Drosophila melanogaster: one gene and its partners. The protein of the gene in region 1 purifies or fractionates together with the protein of each later gene. This does not show direct contact. Each region holds a gene or a part of one and is shown in the gene's direction. Other genes may lie near its edges. The genes, in order: CG16863, Rab8 and mei-38.

The links.
Region 2: the proteins of CG16863 (region 1) and Rab8 purify together in Drosophila melanogaster (affinity purification with mass spectrometry, with the first as the bait; one large-scale study listed by BioGRID). This does not show direct contact.
Region 3: the proteins of CG16863 (region 1) and mei-38 purify together in Drosophila melanogaster (affinity purification with mass spectrometry, with the first as the bait; one large-scale study listed by BioGRID). This does not show direct contact.

What each region holds. Positions count from the first base shown.
Region 1 is NT_033779.5:13,787,776-13,794,291, forward strand, and holds CG16863 (uncharacterized protein), read left to right. Parts: upstream 1-3,183; 5' UTR 3,184-3,252; coding exon 3,253-3,389; exon of another isoform or gene 3,390-3,442; coding exon 3,443-3,820; intron 3,821-3,889; coding exon 3,890-5,360; 3' UTR 5,361-5,489; downstream 5,490-6,516. Other genes in the region: Eato (engulfment ABC transporter in the ovary), read left to right, coding at 24-261, 322-945, 1,013-2,015, 2,082-2,526; Sec71 (secretory 71), read left to right, coding at 6,073-6,516.
Region 2 is NT_037436.4:19,865,800-19,873,739, reverse strand, and holds Rab8 (Rab8), read left to right. Parts: upstream 1-2,661; 5' UTR 2,662-3,235; coding exon 3,236-3,359; intron 3,360-4,181; exon of another isoform or gene 4,182-4,213; coding exon of another isoform or gene 4,214-4,232; intron 4,233-4,311; coding exon 4,312-4,372; intron 4,373-4,432; coding exon 4,433-4,637; intron 4,638-4,875; coding exon 4,876-5,016; intron 5,017-5,094; coding exon 5,095-5,187; 3' UTR 5,188-6,252; downstream 6,253-7,940. Other genes in the region: Usp32 (ubiquitin specific protease 32), read right to left, coding at 2,286-2,346.
Region 3 is NC_004354.4:1,474,508-1,483,001, forward strand, and holds mei-38 (meiotic 38), read left to right. Parts: upstream 1-2,555; 5' UTR 2,556-2,684; coding exon 2,685-2,781; intron 2,782-2,865; coding exon of another isoform or gene 2,866-2,868; coding exon 2,869-3,722; coding exon of another isoform or gene 3,723-3,749; exon of another isoform or gene 3,750-3,975; intron 3,976-4,044; exon of another isoform or gene 4,045-4,731; coding exon of another isoform or gene 4,732-5,682; exon of another isoform or gene 5,683-6,352; intron 6,353-6,500; coding exon 6,501-6,593; 3' UTR 6,594-6,913; downstream 6,914-8,494. Other genes in the region: Rab27, read right to left, coding at 1-3, 168-287, 1,749-1,805; rush hour, read left to right, coding at 4,732-5,682; sta (stubarista), read right to left, coding at 7,380-7,973, 8,166-8,384.

The sequences.
Region 1 (6,516 bases):
TTTTTGTGCTCCCCTCTCGCTAGCTGTGCATTCCCTTTGTATGCGTATTCGGGGCTATACTGGTGATGCACGCCATGTCCTTGGTGGAGAACGAAGAGGCTCTGCCGCTGAAGCTCAGCCAGATGGGCAGTGGCGTTATATACGTTCACAATCCAACGGGCCATCACGCCCATTTGGAGCAGCAGCTGCGTCAACAGATCGAGCTGAATGGAATCACAGCGAAAACAATGCACCTGCGTGGGAGTAATGATGTGAAAAATGGTGAGTATGCGACGTTGTGCTAAACATTTTAATGGCTCTATCAATACATGTGTTCTCTAGAATCCCTTGACTTACAACGCGACAACTTGGCTGATTTCTTGGAGCAGGTGATTGGCATTATTGACATGTACGGAGGTGGGCGTGGCACCTCCGATACGCCCACCATTGAGATTTTTTACTCAGGCAATCGCTACCACAGCTCTGTGGAGCTTATCAACCTGGTGGACTCGGCAATGCTGAAGCTAGGGCGTCCAGAGTCTGAAATTGATACGACTTACGTGCCAATTCGTCGATTTGTTAGCGACATAAGTCCATCGCGCCTCGAATACTATGCGGTCATCGTGCCGATCGGCATGTTCTTCTTCATGTTCTATTTCATCTCATTGCCGTTTCGGGAATATGCCAATGGATTCAAACAGCTGCAGACCATGTCGCGATTTACTTATTGGTTTGCGCATTTTACTTTTGATATGCTGATCCTGATCTTCGTCTGCGTTGCCCTGTTCAGTCTGCAATCCTTGATGATGCCCTCGGAGCTGTATACAACGGCTGAACTTAAGGTCATTGTGTTAAGCATATTTTTCTACGGCTGCAGCTACCTGCCCATTCTATACGCCCTGGGAAACAACTTTAAGTCGATATCCACGATATCTACTTATTTGCTTTTGATGCTGATTGTGTCCGGTAATATTATTTGATTTTATAACCAGTGACAACAATTAGAAAAACTATAAAACCCATTTTCTTTTAGCCATTGCCCCACTTATCACCTCCAGCAATGCGGCGGCCATGAAACTGCATGAGACCAAGATCGCCTTCCTCTGCTTCCTACCGGACTTCAATCTTAATCACCAGTTTCGCATCATCAATGAAAACTTTATAACCCGACGCCATCCGGCACTTATAAAGGGTCTTATCAGCCAGGACACCTTCTTTGCCTATGCCACCGCCGTGGGTGTTATGGTCATGGCATTCTTTACCATAGTCCTGGAACACAAGTATCTGCGCAGACGAATTCATGATGGCATCTGGGAATGGGCATTCCAAAGAAAGAAATACAATTCGACAGGCACCCTTCCCAGTACTCCGATCTCAGAAATTGATGATTGTGCAAGGGAGGAAAAACGGGTTACCGATCTGATAAAAGACCCATTGAACGACCATTCACTGATTGTGCACAATCTTCGCAAGCGATACGGCGATAAGCTGGCTGTGGACGGAGTCAGCTTTGCGGCTGCCCAGGGTGAATGCTTTGGTCTGTTGGGTGTTAACGGAGCGGGTAAGACAAGTACCTTTCAGATGATAGCGGCCAATTTGCCTCTAGATGGTGGCACTATCCGCATCAAAGGCGCAGACATTCGCGAGCATGAGTTGAAATACCGGGAATACTTTGGCTACTGCCCTCAGTACGATGCACTAAATAAATTCATGACCGCCGAGCAGTGCCTATACTACATGGCATTGCTGCGCGGCCTGAGCCGCCGAAGGACCGATGGACCAGCCAGCTGCAAGGAGCACGTGAAGTACTGGCTAGAGAAGATGCATTTGACCAAATATCAAAAGGTGCAAGTGCGCCACTATTCGGGCGGCACGAAACGCAAGCTTCTGGCGGCAATGGCCATGATTGGTGCACCCGCACTGGTGCTCCTGGACGAACCTACCACCGGTGTGGATCCCATCTCGAGACGATTTCTTTGGCAATGCATCAAGGATTTCCAGGGAAAGGATCGAACAGTGGTGCTCACATCACATAGGTAAGCCCAAAAAAGTATATTTCCTTTTCAAACAGATTCAAAAGTGTACACATTCTCTACAAACAGCATGGACGAGTGCGAAGAGCTGTGCAATCGCTTGGCCATCATGGCGCACGGAAAGTTCAAGTGTCTGAACAATATTTGCGCCCTTAAGCGATTAAGCGGCTTCACGATAAAACTGAAAATGAAGGCGGACACCGAAACGGAGATGAATGTGTCCACGATCACTGGCACGTTGAAGTCAGAGTTTCCTGGTCTGGAACTGCGCGAGAGCCATGCCGGCACACTCACCTACTTTGTTAGCACGCAGGAGAGTGTGGTCCTTTGGTCAAGTGTTTTCAAGATAGCTGAGGAATATCTGGGCGATCGCTTAAGCGCTCTCGTGGCCGACTATTCGGTGAACGAGTGCACACTCGAGGATATTTTCCTCAAGTTCGAGAGAGAGGCGAAATCACAATCGACGTCACGTCAAACCTCCGTGCAACGCAGGCCGGAATGCAGCTACGTTTAGGCCAGATAGTCGGAGTGTCGGAGTATCAAGTAAGATAAGCAGAAGACGGGCGTCGTACATTTCATTATTTCCCTCAAATATGGAACTTTTATGAATCTCTATCCGGTGGGAATAATCTACTTAATGTATTTAGGGACTAATAAAACCAAACAAACACCTTCGACATGGGTATATAAAACTAAAATATAAAAGTAAGATATAACTAGTACGACAAATAAATAATATTTTTTATTTATATTATAATAAATATTTCTACATAATATTTGATGTGCATTGATTATGGGATTAAGGTAAATTATCATAATTCAAAAGAAGTTAAAAACAGTTTTATACCCTTCTATTGGTAGAGGAACAGGTATCTGATTGACGGGGAACTCGACTATAGCATTCTCCCGTTTTTTTTTTTTTTTAATTTAAAATCTCCCGCCTTAGTATTTTTAAAATACCACTCATAATAATACCAAAAGGAACTTTAAACGATCTATATTTGGAATTTAACGATTCATTCAAGAATTAAAAGTAATACATAATGTAATTTTTTTATCCAGCTTGACTATTGAATATTTAATTATGAGAAAAATAAATATAAAACTATTATTACTTGGACGACTTAGGCGCTAATGGAAATGTCAAATTCTCAAAAAATCTCCCACTTGGCCACACTAATGTAGCGTTATTTACAAAATATTCATTTTTTTCGTCGTTAATTTATCGTTTATGCCGAATATGTCGCGTAGCAGAATATGGAAGTTCTACGACAAGTTGGATCGGAATTCCGCGCAGTGCCAGCTCTGCGAGAAAGTAATCAAGACAAGCGGCAACACGTCCAATCTGATGAAGCACATGAAGACCCATCCGCAGATGTAGGAAAGGCTCCTGAGTTCAAAAACCTTTCACAATGAAAATTTTCTTGAAGAAACCTCTTCGACGACGATGTGGTGGTGGAGCGGGGCATATACAAGCGGCGGGAGCAGGATGACAAGCTGCGATTCCGGAAGGTTGTTCCCTTCAAGGAAGAGAGCTCTGATTTCCACAGCGAGCTGTTGTTCAAGGCTGCCAAGGATGCGAGCGGCATTATCGAGCTGGATGATCAAGGAATGATCAAGGCGGCTGCTGAGGATCGCATCTCAACAAAGAGCGTCGGGTATGCGTGGGTCTCTCCGGAGGCCACAGTGTCCCGAACGGAGACGGTTGGCGGCGACGATATCATCGAATTCGAACCCAAGGAGGAGCTCGATGAGTCGGAGAAAAGCCCACTTCCCCAAATTCATGCTGTACCATTTGCCGGCCATGAGTAAGTTTTAATCAAAAGATAGAAGGTAGAAGATAGATACAATTGTAGTAAACTTCATTTATTACCCAGCAACTTAAAAATGGAAGAACCTCTGCCGAGCGAGAGTCCGTTTCACAAGGACATTGCCTTCTTTGTCTGCCGTGACCGCCAGTCATTGCAGATTGTGCAGGGCGAGGGATTCCAGCACCTAGTGAAAGTACTGTGCCCCACCTACAGACCACCGAGTGCGGCGAAACTGGAGGCCATTATCTGCAGGGAGTCGGAAGCGCAGAGGTCCAAGCTCTGCCAGCAGTTGGCCGACATCTCGACACTCAGCCTAAGTTGCTCGGTGCACACGAATGCGGAGAGTCGAAGCTGGATGGAGCTGGTGGCCCACTTTCACGAGGGGCGGCAACGAATCTCCCGAACTCTTTCTGTGCTGCGCCTTCCCGATCTTTTCACCTCCAACGATCTGGTGGATCGCATGGACCAAGTGTGTCAGCGCTTCGACATTCCAAAGTCAAGGATCTGCTGCGTGTCGACAAGGAGCAGTCAACTACTGGAGGATGCGGTGACATCGTTCATGGGCGCTCATCATCATGTTCCCTGCTTCGCAGACCAATTGAATTCTATTTTAGAGGAGGTGGTGCAGCGCCCAGAAATACGTCATTTGCGCGACAAGGTGCGTTCCCATGTGCAGTCCACATTGCAGCTGAATCCCCAACTGGATTCCATACACCGACCGATTAGTGTGTACAATATGCTAGACTTATACCTGAAACAGACTCTCGTTCAAGAGCCGCTGCCGCTTTCGACATCGGAGGTGGATTTGTGTCAGCAATTGCTGGACGTGCTGAGGCCGTTGACCAGCTCCATGCGTGAGCTAAGTCGAACACCATATCCGGCGGCCAGCACAGCCCTGCCCATTGCCCAAACTCTGATCAACGAACTGAAGCAGGAGAAGAGTGCGGAACACATGGTTGCCAGGGAAATACGCTTGTTCCTGGTTCAGCAGCTGGAGGAGATCTTCGAACGAATGGAGCGCAACTTGCACCTGGCATTGGCAAGTCTGCTGGACCCACGCTTTCGAAATATTCCCTTCCGGAGTGGGGCCCTGGTGGCCCAGTACATGACTCAACTCTATGACATGATGCAGGCGCATGTGGACAGCGGGGAGCAAGCTGTTGCAAAGCATCCGGAGAACCGTGATCACTACGATATCTGGGCGGCATTCAAATCCTTTTCGCATGGGAAGCAAAGGATTGTAAACGGCAGCAACGGTCCCGAGGCGGACGATGAGATAGCCAGATACTTTTGCGCCGGCATGAGTACCCTGCGAGCCGATCCCTTTCAGCTCTGGGAGGAACTGGCCGAAGCTCACCCCTTCCTGCACAACGTAGCACAGAGGTACCTGCACGTTCCGGCCACCGCAGAGCCGGCGGATCGGCTATTTACGGCCGAAGGAGCGGCGGTTGCGGCGCAGTACGCCAGACTAATCGAAAACAACATGGAAAACATACTCTTCATGGCGGAAATTCCAACGAAGGAGTGGCAGTTATAGCGTAGTCCATAATCAATCCAAACCTAAGTTGAGCACTGTGTTTTTGTACCCCTTTTATTAACTAATTTATTAATTTACATTTACAATAATGCGAACTATAAAATACATTTTTTAACTTTTTAGCTTCTCAAGCGTTAAGGAACTATTTTTGTATTAGAAAATTAGAGGTAGGGAACGAATAACGAACACATATTCATTAAAGATTTGTAAGTACTATTTACTACACATATTTACACAAATAATTTATTTTAAATATAACTTTATTGTTTACTTTTTTCTTTTGTTATCACAAATCGCCGTTACAAATTCAAATAACAATAACACCAGCAAATTAGCAAAAATACCAAAACCGAGAGAATACCAAAAACTTCCCAACACTGCCGACAGCTCAGTAATTTTCGCTTACACGGTCACACTTCTGATGACGTTTTTTCGTATTTTGAAGGGAATGTAAATGTGGAAAAACTGAGAGATTTGCAACATGCAAACATCCACGACACGCTAAAAACTCACCGAGTGCCGCCACACGACAATCCAACCGAGAGGAGCACTCCGCACAGCTGGCGGAGCACCCAGAAGGCAGCAGGCGAAAGTTGCGTGGCTGTTGTTTCCGGAAGCGGTGGGCAGAGGGAAATCCGAAGCAGTGGTAGTAGGGAAAGAGGCATCGAAACCCACCCAGCGAAGGCGACCTTGGGAGTGGCAGCGGCCCAATATGCACAACAACTCCACAAAAACCAAGGAAATGTTCATCGTGCGTGCTCTAGAAAAGATCCTTGCCGATAAGGACATACGGCGCTCCCATCACTCGCAGCTGAAGAAGTCCTGCGATTCGGCGCTGGAGCAGATTAAGGCGGAGCTAATCAGTGCCGGCCAGATCGCAGAGGGCAATGAGCTGCCCTGTGCCGCACTCCCGCTGCCCAAGAATGATGCAGCGAGCATCATAAATGCGGAGACCTACTTTCTCCCCTTCGAGCTTGCCTGCAAGAGCCGCTCGCCCAGGATCGTGGTCACCGCACTGGACTGCCTGCAGAAACTCATTGCCTATGGCCATTTGACAGGATCCATTCAGGACTCGGCCAATCCGGGTCACCTGCTCATCGACCGTATCGTTGTGACCATATATGGCTGCTTCAGTGGTCCCCAGACGGACGAGGCC
Region 2 (7,940 bases), on another chromosome or scaffold:
TGAGTAATGCTGCGTTAGGGATTATCCCATGTGCCTTTAATTAATAGCCGGTATGCCGGGTAACCCCCTCATTTGATGCGATTTACGACCTCGATTTCACACTAACCGACGTGCTGTCAATAACAAACTGATTATTGGGAACACATGTTCCAGTATGGAAACCCAATTCAAATACATTCGCTCTAATTGTTTAATAATATACATTATAATAATATCAATAAACATTATTTCCGAGCTCATTTACCAATTCCATTACATATGGTATTAGATTCGTTGTTACCTAATTAACCATTATCAGTAATTGATTTTTCACTAATTACCTGAAGTGCAAAAAGGTTACCCACAAACCAATAGAAGGTAACATGAATATTATGTTCTTTAACGATAATTATTAATTATATTAATTATATTTTAGGACTGTTTTCATATGATCAACAAATAAAAAAAATTTAACTAATATTTCTTGCCCTAAAACGATAAATTATATATAAGTTAAAAAATGAAGAGGGTATCCCGAAGTCCGCCACACAAAGTTAATTTTATTTGTTTAATAATTGTGAATCATTTCCCGTGGAATCAAAGCAGCATAACATACGACAGTTTAAAATCGTTTAGCACTTAAGTCAGAAAATGATAAGAAACGAAACAAAATGTTCTTGTTAATATCGTTGCGCATTCTCAATAGTATGCTAATTCATGTTACTTCATCTTAAATGTACTACATGTTCCCTATTTAACCATTTTCATTCATGCCCCGTTCATAACGTTATAATTCATAACGTTGATTATTTAATGTCGGAAATAAAAGGCCACAAGAAGCGCAATTAAATTGACAATAAATAAACCATTTTAATTTCAACGATCAGGTTGAGAACCCAGAGCCAACTGATAACCGCCAAACCGGGCGTGAAAATACATTCCCAAGTTGATTGGGCAATATTGCAGGCGAATTATGCGACGTCACGGAAACGGCATTTTATTGAATGTTAACTGCAACTCGAGTCTGCGATTATTGACCACCGCGCACATACTTGCATGCTAGTCCTCACTTCCCCCTTGGTTTTACTGGAACCGGTTGGAGTGGCTAATAAGAAACACACGCACCCGGTCGCACGCCCCACACCAGTGATGGTGGGTGGTGGAGGGGTGGTCCGGAGTGCTGGTGTTCCGGGGGAGTGAGCCTTATCAGCGACACTCGTTTTCTTAACTCTGGCTGGGCCGCCTGGCCACAAATCAGCAACCATAACCATAACAACACCAGCATTTAGATGATTGCCAGCGCAAAGGGAAGGCGGAATAAAGTAAGTGAAAAGCACTAAGGGAAGCTAAACGTCATTGAAAGTGGGCCGAAAATGGGTATACAAGTTGGCTTAAATAATCTTAACTCTTCTGAATGATTACCAATTTTATTGCTGGTTCATTATTATAAAATATTTGGAGAAGAGTGAACATTCCGATTTTCATACTTTGTAAATAAATTTCTATTTTTTTGGCTTATCAGCTTGTTTTAAACACAGTAATTCCTTTTCCTATCTGAACATATTCCACTTAAAGAGGAATTTTAAGAAATAAGGAAATGACATGCAGAATTAAAAGCCCAATGAATTATTTATTTTAAAACATTTTTCTTATGGATATTCCAATTGGAAAATCGAAATCCAAAATGCTCCCCTTTCATTATAATTTCATTTCATTATAAACAAAAAAATTTTAAAGTAGGCTTCTTTATAAAATACTTCAACAGAAGACCTTTGCCCATAGAGTGCGAATTGAAATGAACACTGGAATGACATGCTGAACTTGAAATGAATCGTATTCGCAGCGACATCCGCATCCGCGCATTCCAGTCACCCTAAGCGTGAACTGCACTCCACTGGCTGTCTAACTGTTTCTCATGTGCCTTCGCTGCTTTGTTGTCTCTCACCCACACAGCGCACACCTCCAACTGCCACCCCATTCGGTTAGCTTTTCTATTGTGACGTCATTGGCGGCGGAGACGCAAATACCCATGCACATGAAAACACATGCAATAAAGAAGCCACACTGGAATGGCAGTAGATAATTGCAAGAGATAGGATTAAGAGGAGCATGAGGATGGTGGTGGCGGAAGTCAGTGGTGATTCCCGTTGGTCAGAAGACGTGGGCGCAACAACACAATGGAATCGATTGCACCTGCTTGTACGTTGTTGTTGCTTTCGCAGGGGGTTCTGTTTTCTTGATTGGCAGTGACCTATTTTCTGCGGCTGGGAGACGGCCCCACAAGTAACCAGCCGGAGGAGACTCACCGCGTTTCACCGAATCCTCGTAGCTGACGCTATTGGAGTGCTTGGACTCCTTGGTGCCCATGGTCCAGAATTTCTTGTTTGCGGGGGTGCAACTCAATGGATTCTGGGGCTCCGCCTGCTGCTGCGTCTGGCGACGCCACTTTTCACATTTGTTCAACTTCACTTCACAGTCGCGGGCGGAACAATAGGCTGCTGGCGAGGATCAGGTGCAGGATCACGACGATATATGTGTATGAATATATAATATACACCTGTCTTTTTGACTCTTGTCTTGTGCTATTTTCCTCTGTTTCTTTCTATATTCGCGCACTTTCCAACACTAACTGGAAACAGCTGTTTTCCCCATCGTACGATAAGCTATCGATAGACGACGGCGCGCCAGTGTTGCGCAGCAACGAATTATCGAAACTCATATTTTTTGTACGGGCGTAATTAGAAAGCAGTAATTAACTTCATTTCCACGTAATTTTCACAACAAACCAACGTAGACTCGCACCGCGTAGCGAGCGCCTTTGCATTTGCCCACCGGAAAAGCCGCCGCACGAAATCCGAAACTCGGGCACAGACAACAAAAAGGTCTTAAATCTACGTCGCCATTTTTGACACGGCTCCGAAATCGAAAACACAACACACACACCCAAGAGAAAAAGAGCTGCGCTGCGGAGAGAAGGAAAAAACTATACGTTTTCGATTCGAGTCGATTCAATTAGATTGTGGATTAGTGCGGTTACGTCTGGGTATAGTGTATATGTACATACATACGCTAAACGGCACGCATGGGGCATAATCGTGATTAGTGTTATTAGCCAAGAATCGGAGAGGAAGTCAGTCAGTTGATTAAGGAGACGACGACGTGTACAGAGCATCATCACCCTTAACCCGTACCCTAACCCCCAGCTAAGCACTATTATCGGGCCAGATACTGTGATCCTACCGCAAAAGCACACAAAATGGCCAAAACCTACGACTATCTGTTCAAACTGCTCCTGATCGGTGACTCCGGAGTGGGCAAGACCTGCATCCTCTTCCGATTCTCTGAGGACGCCTTCAACACAACGTTTATATCCACAATAGGTGAGTGTCATCATCCGCGTTTACCGTGTCTTCCGATTCTTAATTTTTTTTTTTTTTTGGTTATTAATTATAACACCTTCGTTCGCATGAACTCATTCGCAATTGGAAATCCGAGCTTCTGGCCCAGTGACTCATTAAATGCCTCTTTTCTTTTTTATTTCCTGCCCCATCCGGGCGCATTTGTCATAAATATTGTTGTTTCCATGGGAGGGGCACTCCCACCATGTTTGATTTCTCGCGCTTATTAAGATTTTCCCGTAAGGAATATATCCGGATGCCTTATCTCGCCCTGAGATTCACACCCGCATAGGAAAGCGATCAGAAATGAGTACTCAGTCCGAGTACCCATAGTCTTTGTACTTTCGCTGCTCTTATCGCCCCAGAAGCCGGATTGTTCCGATGCGAGACTTGACCGTCGCACGCCAAATCGGGAATGCCCTATTATATACCCAGCAGGCCCATGCCCAGTCTCAGAGGGAATTCAAGTAGTTGTTCCCGTACGAGTACAGTGAAGCCTTTCTACCAAACACAGCAAATACTTTTTAATAAATTCGAATCATAATCAGTACAACTTCAAGTGGCAGTTAAATCAGATTATGCTAGTAATTTTAAGCTTATTAAAATAATAATCACAATAATATTCGACATGCACACTGTACTTTCCCGTACTTGTAAACACAAAAGTAGAGCGATTCCCATTTCTGCTCGTGGCTAATAATTGTTTATTTTCGTTTTTGGCACGTTTTCATCGCGACACTTCCAATTTTGGGGCATTTACTTAACGACATTGTTTAAATTAATTGCGTGGTTTGTGGATTTCGGTTCTCTTCGTCTCTTATTTTAGCTGCGATGTCATGGGTTCCGACCAAACAGGTTTAGCCTCTTGCCAAATTATTTAAATTAATTAGCAAACGTACATGTGTGTATATGCTCATCTGTTTTCTCTTTTCAGGTATCGATTTTAAAATTAGAACAATTGAATTAGATAACAAGAAGATTAAGCTGCAGATATGGTAAGTACTAGGCGATTCATCTGTATTCTCTAATTACCTATATCTCCATTCATTTTCCAGGGACACTGCCGGCCAGGAGCGTTTTCGCACAATCACCACGGCCTATTACAGAGGTGCCATGGGCATCATGCTGGTATATGACATAACCCAAGAAAAGTCCTTCGAGAACATCAAAAACTGGATCAGGAATATCGAGGAAAATGCGTCCGCCGATGTCGAGAAAATGCTGCTGGGAAACAAGTGCGAATTGACCGATAAGCGACAGGTATGGAAAAAAGAAATTGGTGATTTCGCTGGCTATTCCTCCAAGTTCGTTTATTTGTTTGTTCCATAAAAGTTATCTACAAACATTTTATTTATATATTTCAAATTCAGTTAGTGTATAATCATTTGTTATTAAATCCAATAAGGGATAGACAATGATTTGGCGCAATATTCTTTTCAGCTTCATAAAGCTATCTGCCCTTAAGGCCGATAATTAAACAATTTTCCACCCGTTGTAGGTTTCAAAAGAGCGCGGCGAACAATTGGCCATCGAGTATGGCATCAAGTTCATGGAGACCTCCGCGAAGGCCAGCATTAACGTGGAAGAAGCCTTCCTCACCCTAGCCAGTGATATCAAAGCGAAAACGGAAAAGCGAATGGTGAGTGTGCGGGTGGCGAGACTCGGACAAAGCGTTTTTTTTACTGTGGCTAACCATTTACATCCTTTGTGTGCGCAGGAGGCGAACAACCCACCCAAGGGCGGCCATCAGCTGAAACCGATGGACAGTCGGACGAAGGACAGTTGGTTGTCCAGGTGCAGTCTGCTTTGACGTGGCAACGTGCGCTCGGCACTGAAGCGGCATGGTGGCAACGACTACACGGTAGTGGTTTATGGTGGTAACTACGAGGTAGTAGTTTTCTTAACTCCTGTTAGGTTCGAGTACAAGCGGGACCCCGACAAGCGGACATTAACTGACATCTAAATCAACCTTAAACATCAATCAGCAGCCGGCTCCCTTTAACCGAATAAGCGCGATAATGGAATAGAACACAAATTGCATTATGAAACAGTTATTAAATAAAGTATATGACGACAGCGTGTACGAAATATACCTAGGCATGATAATATGTATACATATATACGTATATAACTCAAGTTTAAAGATAAAACGATCCAGCGATAGCGAAAATCGAAGAGCAGCCAATCCAACCCGCCCGCGTCCTTCTCGAAGAGGTTTTAGTATTTACGGAATTATGATTTTCTCTAGCAGCCATGGTTGTCGATTTGTAAATTATTAATTGTAAAACAAATATATTGTATGTACTATGTATGCATATGATTAGTTTACCTGTCCTTGTTTTGCTCATTGCTTGTATGTACTTTCGATCGATTCAGAAACCCTTTTGCCATTACGTTGGGAATACGACGGAGGAGGTCCAGACGCACAATGACCCAAAAGTGTAAAACAGCCCAATCCGCCCCGCACCTCCCCCTACCCGGTCCTAACTTTATATAATATAATGTGGTAGTATCGCACAGATCGAGGGTGCTTATTATATTCTTCTTAATCTTCACACACATTTCATTTGGTTAGTTCGTACTCTATTTATTTTGTTCTTTGCCGCACACCACATGACTTTGTCAATAAAACGTTACACCTAATATTAAAACATTAACGAAGATTTGCAGATTTGCGAGATATCACCAATTAAAGGTAGTCTATCGATGAGAATCGATCGGCAGCAATAAACAATTATGAACACATACACAGCGCAGTAATATAAATAATGTGAAATTAAATGATAACTAATTGCATATTTGATATTAATTAATTACTTGTAATATTAATGATTAAACGTATACAATTTTATAAAAATAAATCATGTGCAAAACCAAAAACTTTTTATTTGAAAAGATTTTATGGCTCGTTTCGTAGCGCTGAGCTTCTGTCATAACAGAGACAGGCGAGTTCGACGCGTCGGACCCAAAGTCGCGTAGACAGATTGTGCTGTGGAGCATTGTAGAGTATGGGCTGAGGACTATCAACTTATACAAAATGTCCATGCTGCAATGCACTGGGTTTCCCAGGTACACTTGAGAGGACCTTAAGAAATCCAATACCAGTTTGTGGGTAAGTCTATTCGCTCAGGGTTCGATCAGGGATTACTCTTAAATGATCTGGATCATGTCCAATGACCCAAGTCGGATGGAGAGGATTATGAATATGAATCATAGCTTAATCGTTGACATACCGACGAGACATCATGTTGCATTATGGGGCATCATAAATTTATATATCTGTGTGGAAAATTAAAGAAAAGTCCCGTAAAGTTCTTATTATATGGTGGTAAAAGAGTTCGAAGCTAAGCTAATTAAAAATTGTAAAAAGAGCCCGTGGGAATTAAACATCCCTCACATGGCCAGACCACTGCACCCTCCGCCTCTTCATCTTCTTCAAAAATCTAAAACTAAACTAAAAACTAACTAATCTTACTACTTCCTATCAAAATGCTAGAGGCTTGCGTAGCAAACTAACCAAATTGTATTGTAATAGCCTTTCCTTTGCATCCCGTATAATAGTGTTCAGAGACTTGTTTAAAGCCGGGGATTTAACTCCGAAGTCTTCCCACGTACATATGTACACATTATGACCGTCCCTCCAAATGGGAACGGGTTAGATCTACCCTCCCGTTGGAAGAGTTACTTTTTGACGAATCCCATAACTCAGAAATCATATGCGTAAAACTGTCATTTTCCGACAGATCAGTTTATATTATGTGCTCGTATATTCCGCTATCTTCTGAATTCCCAGAATATCTGAATACTTTGTCCGCTATCCAATCCATCTCAAATAAACTGTCTGACAGGGACCAATTGGTAGTTCTAGATGATTTTAATATACCTGGCATAATGTGGTCCCAGAAGAACAATCGAATATTCTTCTCCCTTTAGCACAACATGACTTTATGCTCGACTTATCGTTGTTGCAAGTTAATTATATTCGAAACTCTCTTGGTCGACTGTTGGATCTATGTCTTGTAACAAGTCCTGAAAGTGTGTTTCTGTCCAGGGTAGCACATCTTACTCAACCTGAAGATCCATATCATCCTACTTTCGAGGTGACAATCGACACCGTACCGTATTAAAAGTAAAATCGGAGAAGTCAACCAAGCGAATTCACTGTTTTCGCAAGGCAAACAATTTTATAGCTGGCTTTAATTGGTCCGATCCTTACTCTTGCAACATAATGACGGATGCCATTAATATGTTTTATACCGCAATTAAATCGTTTTTGACTCTTGTGTTCCGATGTACTATCCGGCAATCCTTAAACCTCCTTTGTTTAATAAAGAGTTGAAACACCTAAGAAATGTAAAGTCCAGACTTTATACAAAATTTAAAAATACGGTTCTAAGTCCATCCTTTCTAAATATTTAAGCGCTCGCTTAAACTTTACCGTGCTTAATGCTAAGTGCTACAGGAATTATTTAAGCCGTTGTAAGTTCCAGTTCGCACAGGATCCGAAACAGTTTTATAATTTCGTTAACACCAAGCGAAAAACCATTTCTTACCCTTCTTCGC
Region 3 (8,494 bases), on another chromosome or scaffold:
CAGCTGAAGGATGCAAAAAAAAGTGATGGGTCACTAGGGTTCGGAAATGATAGTGATGTGGTTGCAAAATCCTCGTGACTCTCAAACCGACTTCACTAGGATTGTGTTGGCTATGTTAGGTGAGTCCCATGAAAAGGATCACAGGATGATTAGCCGCTTGAACTTACCAGCCGCTTTTCGCGGAAGTCGATGCCCACAGTGGAGATGAACTGGGTGTGGAACCGGCCATCCGTGTACTGGTAGAGGAGACAGGTCTTTCCCACGCCGGAGTCGCCCAGGACGAGGAACTTGAGCAGGTAATCGTAGTCGATGTTGGCGCCCGTCATAATGGCCGTTCGTAGCAGCGCGTTTGGAACGTTCAGGACCGCAGACGCATCCCGTCCGCCTGGAAGCAGGGAAACGAATGAGCTGCCCGTTCCTGTACAGCTCTCCCAAGCAATGGTTGTCCCCCAGCTACCAGCTTCCTGCCTCCTGCCCCTGCTGTCTATCCACTCGCCACTCTTCCTCCTCTTTTGTGTAAGACCGGGCTTAGGCTGACAGGAGCGGAGGCGGGGCACTCTAATCGGGAGGCATCTTCGTGAGCGTGGCTCCCACCCACTGCCAGCTGCCACCCCCATAATGCGACCCACTTACCCACACCACACCATCTCGCTGCACCGTGGCAAATATTTGAAACTCATTAAATCCCGATTTATTGATTTTCTGTCCCGTTCCGGGCGAAATTCGGGCGTGTGGAGTGGGTTCGATGGGTCGCGATGGCGGGGAATCCCTTTCGCCCGCTTCCGCATCAATGGACAAGCCGATCGAGATTTCGAGCATTCCCGCTGGAAGCGGCGCCCAACGGTATGTCGCTCGGCAGAACAGAGAGAGATGACAAGGGGCAGTAGAAAAGTGGAAAGTGGCTGGAGCATAGGAAGGCTAACCCCGCCCCTGCCCCGCTAATTAGACCAACGGCCAACGCTCAAAATGACGCGATGCGGTGGGCAGGAGGAGAGAACGTGCAGCATCTCTGCACCCTGGCTTCCTTCCCGCGCTAAGCGGATTACGGTCGCTGCCTGCGGTTGAAGTGGTTGCTAGACAACGGGGCCTCCGTCACTGGAAAGTAACAACAGAGATCGAAGTAATAACTGGGACCGCGCTCCCAGTGCGCCTTCTGCGCATCCCGAATCCGGCAGCACTCAATGGAATCCTGCCTGCTGATGTCTTGTAATCTAATTTCCTCCCGTTTCCGGCAGCTGTCTCACGTCTCCGGCCCCTATTTCCGAATCCGCTGCCTCGCAGAGGGAGCACGCATAGGTTACAGTCGTCTGCTGCTCGCCAAGTCTCCCAGGGGGAGATGGTAGGCGGGTGGACAGTGGTTGGTGGGCAAATCGAATTAGCATGCACGCACAGCCATAGCCATCCCACTCGGCTGACGGTTAATTTTAAACCTTTATTGATTCGCAAGATCTTGCGGGGCTCAGGTGGGCCTAGCGACGGAAATAGCCTCCCGTTTCCGGGGGTGGTGTTCAACATGAGGGGGGTGGGCTAAGGCGAGTGATGGCAATTAGGAGCAAACCACAAGGCCTCCACTCAAGGACGTCCTCCCAGCTTCCTTCCGCCCTTTCAGCGCGTCCAGCTGCACTAGGACAAGGACGGCTTCCAATTAAAGCTAGACCGCAGTGCCGTAATTAGCTGCAGCTGCCGCGTTTCTGCCGAGCGATTAAACATAGCCACCGCCACCTTAGCCCCTTAGTTCCTCAGCTCACCTGTTCACCGGATCCGGCTAATTGCAGAGGCTCAGGCTCAGGAGGCGCGGCACGCATTTCTGCTCCGACGCCCGCCGTCGACTTTGGCGCCCAAGGCGGCTTCTTTCGGCACGCCGCACGCCACTCGTCACTCCAAGGATCTGGAAGGAATCTGCGATTCAGCTGACTGGACCAGACTGACTGGGCGGGCAACCGTTATTTTTAGCGCGCGCAATTCGTCCGCGCGGGGGAAGGGACCTTCAACCACCTTGCAGAGGTTTGCTAAACGAAAACAAGCGACCCACGAGGACTTCGAAAACTCCGAGGCTGTGCGGATGCTGCGGATGCAACGCAGTGGATCCTCTGGGCGGTGCGCTGCCCGACCTGTTGCCATGCGCTGCCCAGCACAGACTACAGGGCTCGTTGGCCGCCAACAGGCAGTCCCTTTTCCGAGGCTCAGCTTTCAGCCAAAGCTTGCGCCAGCTTTCAAGCGCTTCCGCGCGCGACAGGTGCGCCGCACAGGTGTCCTTTCCCACGGGAACGTGGTTATTTCGTGAGTACTTCGAAGCACTCTCGAGACATAATCCCTCGGGCAACTTTAAGAATGGAACGGCTTTGGACGGAGCTTCCGCGGGACGGCGCCTAAGCTTTGCTCTCCGACGAAGGCTTCAAAGTCAGGAGTGTATCCCGTGCTCGAATAGTCCACTGTTTCTATAATCCTAGTGTTCAGCAATCAAATTTCGTGTTACTAAATAACACTGAGCCACATTTTTCAGTAAATTGAAGTTTGCGCGCGCAGAGCTATCGATAAGTATCGCGAGATAAACCAGTGCTGTAAAGCGCCGCCATTTAATTGCACTTATCGAGTTTCTTGCGGGCTCGGGATTTGCTTTGTTTTTTTTTTTTGAATCGGTGCGGAAACTTCTCGGTTGAGGTTTTATTCTCTATTTACTGGCCATGGACAACGCAAGCTCAACTTTTGGCCAGTCGGACTTCGACTGGGACGCCATCAACGTGGGTGACTACCAGTTGGATCACTCCCAGAACTTTTTCGGTGCGTATCCAGGCCACCGCGTCCAAGCTGAGAAAACGCGCCATTTTTGGCCGACCATTGCTGACCATTTCCCGCATTTCCCAGCAGCACGGGCCAACAAGGAGAACAACAGGAGCCTCAGCAATGTTAACCCCCTCCTGCTGTGCACCACTCCGCAGAAGATCGGCCGGGAACAGCGCGATGGTGACTTCGATGGCAAGCTGATTAGTGCTGGGGATCTCAAGAAGGAGTCCCCCAAAGACACGACAGAGGCGTCCAAGGATGCACTCACTATCAAGCCCAAAGTTGAGCCCCACGATGTGCCAGAACTCAAGTTGAAAACAGAGCTCCAGGAGCTGGCTCAAGTGTCCCCACTTGACAACGGCCCAGAGCCGCAGGACGACATCAAACAAATTGTTCCGCTCAACTGGGGCAAGGATGGGGACGATGATGAGAAGCACATGACGGAGGCCGATCAGCACTTGGTCCACCAGGAACGTCCTCCCGGCGTCGGGGCCAAGCTCCGCCTGGAGTGGTCACCCCCACGCCACCGCGAGCACGAGGGAGCCGGCGCCTCTGCCACATCCGCCGCCCCCAAGGCATACCAGTTCAAGGACGTGTACGAGAGCAAGCGGCAGCAGGCGATGCGCAAGCGCTCCGAGGAGGAAAGCAAGGCGCGCCAGTTCCACAGCCGACCCATGCCCAACTTTAAGGCCATGCACAAGCGCATGAACGAGCTGGCAGTCATCCACAAAATCACCGTCCCGCGCACGCCCGAGACGCTCAAGCACAGCCAGTCGAACGTGGAGCGGCGTCGCGACGACGATCCGGCCGACCAGGCGCGACTGCATCCGGCTGGTACCCGCTCCAGACCCTTCCACCTGCGCAGCGAGCAGCGCGTGCGCGACCGACGCGAGTTCGACGCCGCCGTGCAGGTCAGCCTGGAGCAGAAGAAGAAGGAGGTAAAGACTAAATCTAGTAGCCCTTAAGCATTGGTTCCGAACACAAGCAGATAATTTTCGAGCTCAGGGCCGGAATTTCATTTATGTGATTTATGTGATGTGTGCTGCTGGTTTAGGTGGTTTCTTAGCAACTGACCGTGTGTTTAGTCATTAACTTGAAGAGGCTTAGTTGTTCCTACATTTTTTCAGAATATATTGTTTAATCCAATGTAATAAACCATTTGCAAATGACCCCCCTTCGAGGGCTCAGTGTAAGCACCGTTCGTTAAGTTCAAAAAGTGCGTTCCCACCGCCACGGGGAGTTTTCCAACACCAGCGCGCCGGCATTTAGCTGCGATCCGCGAGCGGCCACACTGCGCTCGAAAAATAACGTATTTCTCCAAGTATTGCTGCCAGCCCCAAAACCTCTCCTGTGCCCAAACACGAGACCCAAATTCAAGGGCCGTACGGCAACTATCCAAGAACGCCCCAGTTCTCCAGTGCAGCAGCCCCAGGTCGGGAATCCGACGCTCGACAAACAATAACACGGGCGGTGGGCAGAGCGAGACGGAGCGAGCTCAGTTTGTTTTTGTTGCTGTGGTGTGAGTGAGTCATGACGTTTCGGACGGCGTAGAAAAGCCAGTTACAGTCAACCGTCGAACATTGCATAAAGCGGGAGCTGTTGCCCTGCATTCCGGAACCAGGATCCGCCAGTCGCCCCACTTCCTCACCGTTTGCCAGGACCTGCAACAGCTGCGCCCAGTCCGCACACACCGAAGCACGCACGTACACACACACACACATTTCTGGAGGAGCTGTGGCACCGAGTGTCACACCATACACACACGGCGCGAGCGCACGCACACCACTGCAGCAGGCAGTCTGTCGTCACAGTTGGCTACATTTCGACTCGGATTCGGACTCGGATCGAGCTAGCTGAGCAGCAACTTTCGCCGCACTCGAATCGAAGTTAAGCCCAAACCAAAAGCAAAAGCCAAACCCAAGCCGAGCCCAAGCGCCTATTATCGTCATGGTGGACCGTCTGGTCAACTCGGAGGCCAACACGCGCCGCATCGCCTCCGTGGAGAACTGCTTCGGGAGCTCGGGCGTGCCGCTGGCGATGCAAGGTCGCGTTCTGGTGGGCGAGGGCGTGCTGACCAAGATGTGTCGCAAGCGGCCCAAGTCGCGCCAGTTCTTCCTGTTCAACGACATCCTGGTGTACGGAAACATAGTGATTGGCAAGAAGAAGTACAACAAGCAGCATATCATGCCGCTGGAGGAGGTCTCGCTGGAATCGATTGCCGACAACCAGACGTACAGAAACGGCTGGTACATCCGCACCACCACCAAGTCGTTTGTGGTGTTTGCGGCCACCAGCACCGAGAAGCAGGAGTGGATGGCTCACATCAACAAGTGCGTGGAGGACCTGCTGCGCAAGAGCGGCAAGAAGCCGGTGGAGAACCACGCCGCCGTTTGGGTGCCCGACACCGACGCCAGCGTCTGCATGCACTGCAAGAAGACGCAGTTTACTTTCATCCAGCGCCGGCATCACTGCCGCAACTGCGGCGCTGTTGTCTGCGCCGGCTGCTCGGCCAAGAAGTTCCTGCTTCCGCAGCAGAGCACCAAGGCGTTGCGCGTCTGTGACGCCTGCTACGAGCGCTTGAAGCACGTGCCAAGTTCCCTTGGCTCTGGCGAGGACTCGGCAGCGGCTACCGGCGCTGCCTCCGGCAACAAGCTCAACACAACAGCCGGCGACAGCTCCAACGATGAGGACTCCGACGAGGAGACTGCCTCCCCTGGTGGCGAGTCGCACGATGAGCCGCGCTTCTACGGGGACAACAGCGTGCTATCCGCCGTCGAAGACTCCTCGACGATAACCTCGCCCTCCTCCGCCACCACTGGCAGCTTGGAGGCTCCCCAGGTGACACCGAGCGTCCAAAGCTCCCCGGCTGCCGTTGCGACGACGGGCAGCCACTGTTGAACGGACCACATAGCGAATGATTATGATTATGGTAGATATCGCAGAAAAGCTCTCACCCACCCACAACGCATATCCCGATACCTTGTAGACACGAATCGCGGTGTGACGAAGTCTCCTTGAACATGCCCAACATAGCCACTGTACATTTGAACAACCGACGATTCCCGTCATCTTCATTGCAAGACCTTCGGACCCAATTTCGGATCTTTCATTATACCTATGCGTTAGATAAAGGACGTGCAAAATTTGAGGCTTATCGAGTTCTAAGTTGGGAGAGTCTAGAATAGAACGTTGCTCGTGACTGCGACCTTGCAGTGGCTCCGTTTTGGTTTTTTATTCTTCTCGTTTTACATTTTCCGCGAATTCCGCTGAGCGCGATAGCCTTATCAGCCAAGTGGCTGCGACGGTTGCTGCTGCTCTATTATTCGTTGGCAAACAAACGGTCTGATGATGTGAGATGTTTCCCATATCTGCTCACAAGCAGCCCAGCCCTGCCCTACCCAGCCCAGTCCAAATGCCGGCTTATCGTTCTGAAACTCCCGTCGTGACTCAGCGGTACAGAGCAGCCGATAGGGTTAGATGGCCATTGAGAGCCCATTTTTGCCTCCGGGCGTTGAATGAGTCAGGCGGACAGTCATCCATGCATCTCTCCGAGTGGCCAGAGACAAAGGTTGCGTACGCCAGGTTCAGTCGCAATTAGAATGCACTACAGCAGCAATCAACACATACTCATCACCTTTCCACTGCACCAGACCGCCGACGACCAATGTGTACATTTCAATGCTAATCCGTGTTCCTTTCCGCCTTTGCCATTGCAGCAAGACGAACAACGGAAGCGATGCGAGCAGGAGGAGATTAAGGAGCTGCGCAAGATGACGGCATTCAAGGCTCGTCCGAATCCATTTAAATAGTGCTCGACGGAACCAATCGACTACCAAACGTTTGATAGCCCTGTCCAAATTTAAATGAAGTGAAGTCGATGCTACACATAATCGTGTTTACCGATGCATAGTTTTACCAGATTAACACAATTTTTGTCTCTTAACATTAACATTACTTTTACGCATATATCGTTCCCGTTTTTGGCGGATAAGAACCACTAAAATCGTATGTTTGGCGAGAGGATAAACTATATGGATATGTATACAACATAAGCAATTTGCAATTGCGATCATTAACTGTTTTCTATTTGTACAAAGCCCAAAAAACAATAAATTAATACTGTAAATTGAACAAGACTGCCATTCGTATGCATGGATAATGCATATGTATGTACATACATATGTACATATGTTCATACATATGTACATATGTTCATACATATGTACATATGTTCATACATATATCGTCCGCCCTTCTCTGCAGCCAGAATGGAATGCAACAGCGAGAGCTGCCTGTCTCCCTCTAATCTGGGCGGGGATCCGTAAGAAAATTTGTCTCATTTCTTTTGAATGGTTCCTATTTTCTCAGAATTTCTGGCACTCACAGTAGAGCCCAGCTATGGAAATGCGTTAGATCGCTTCGATACTAGTAAATATATCGTGCATAATAAGGTGGAAGCACGTGATATTGGGCTACGCTATGCAGAAAAAAAAAACGAGGTGTTTAGATATAAACAGCTGTTTATTTATGCCGTTGAAAAGGCTCCTGACAAAACGCTGTGCTGATGTAGTGCCATCTGTGGCCCGGACGATTCCTTAGAACTGGCCGTCGCTACCCCAGGAGGTCTTGACGGTGTCCTCGTTCCAGTCCTCCACTCCGCCAACGGTCTCGGCGGCAACCTCATCGGCCCAGTTGGTGGTCTCCTCGACCGGGTGGTCGACGGCCTCCTCAATCTTGGGTGGCGGCAACAGCTCCTTGGCGGCGGCCTCCTCCTTCTCGGCCTCCTCGGGATCGCGGTAGAAGAACAGATCGACGACTACGGGCCACTCGACGCTGCGAGAGATGGTGCCACGCAGGCGGAGCACTTCGCGGGCCAACAGCCACCACATCAGACCGATAGAGTGGGCCGACTTGTTGTTGCACGGAATGGCAATGTCGATGTAGCGCAGAGGCGAGTCGGTGTTCGTGAAGGCAATCACGGGGATGTTCACGTAGCTGGCCTCCATGATGGGCTGGTGATCGGTGTTGGGGTCGGTCACCACCAGCAGACGCGGCTCGCGGAAAGCGGGCTGGATCTGGTTGGTGAAGGCACCGGGCGTGAAGCGGCCGGCGATCGGAGTGGTGTCGGTGTACTTGGCGAACTTCAGCACCGCGCGCTGGCCGATCGGACGCGACGAGATGACGAAGATCTGCAAAATAAGTGTGTATTAGAATATGGTGTATCTATCAGAGACTGGGGGCAAACACTCCGAGGCGTTGAGGCGTGGCTGGTCAGCAGTGAAGTTGAAATCATTGAATTTCATACCCGAAAGATTAGTAATAAACTCATCACGCTAGCCACGCCGCACTGGTATGCCATGGAATTCTGCACTTGTACTCACGTCCGAGGGGTTATCGATGGCCACGATGGCGCGGGCCGCCAGCTGCAGCTTCTCCCAGGTCTTGCCCAGGTTGAGGATGTTGACGCCATCAGCGCGGCGCTTGTACACGTACTGCTCCATCTGGAAGTTGACGTTCTCGGAACCCAGATGGGTGGTGGCCACCAACATCTTGGTGATGTCGTCCTCCTTGAGGGACAGAATATCTAAGCCTCCCGACATGTTAACGTGGAAAGAGTTACGGACCTGTGAACGAGACAGGCATATGGTTAGTGGACATAACCTCAAAGAAGGGGCTCCACGTGCGACTTTTCGCCGGTGTCGCGCCTGCC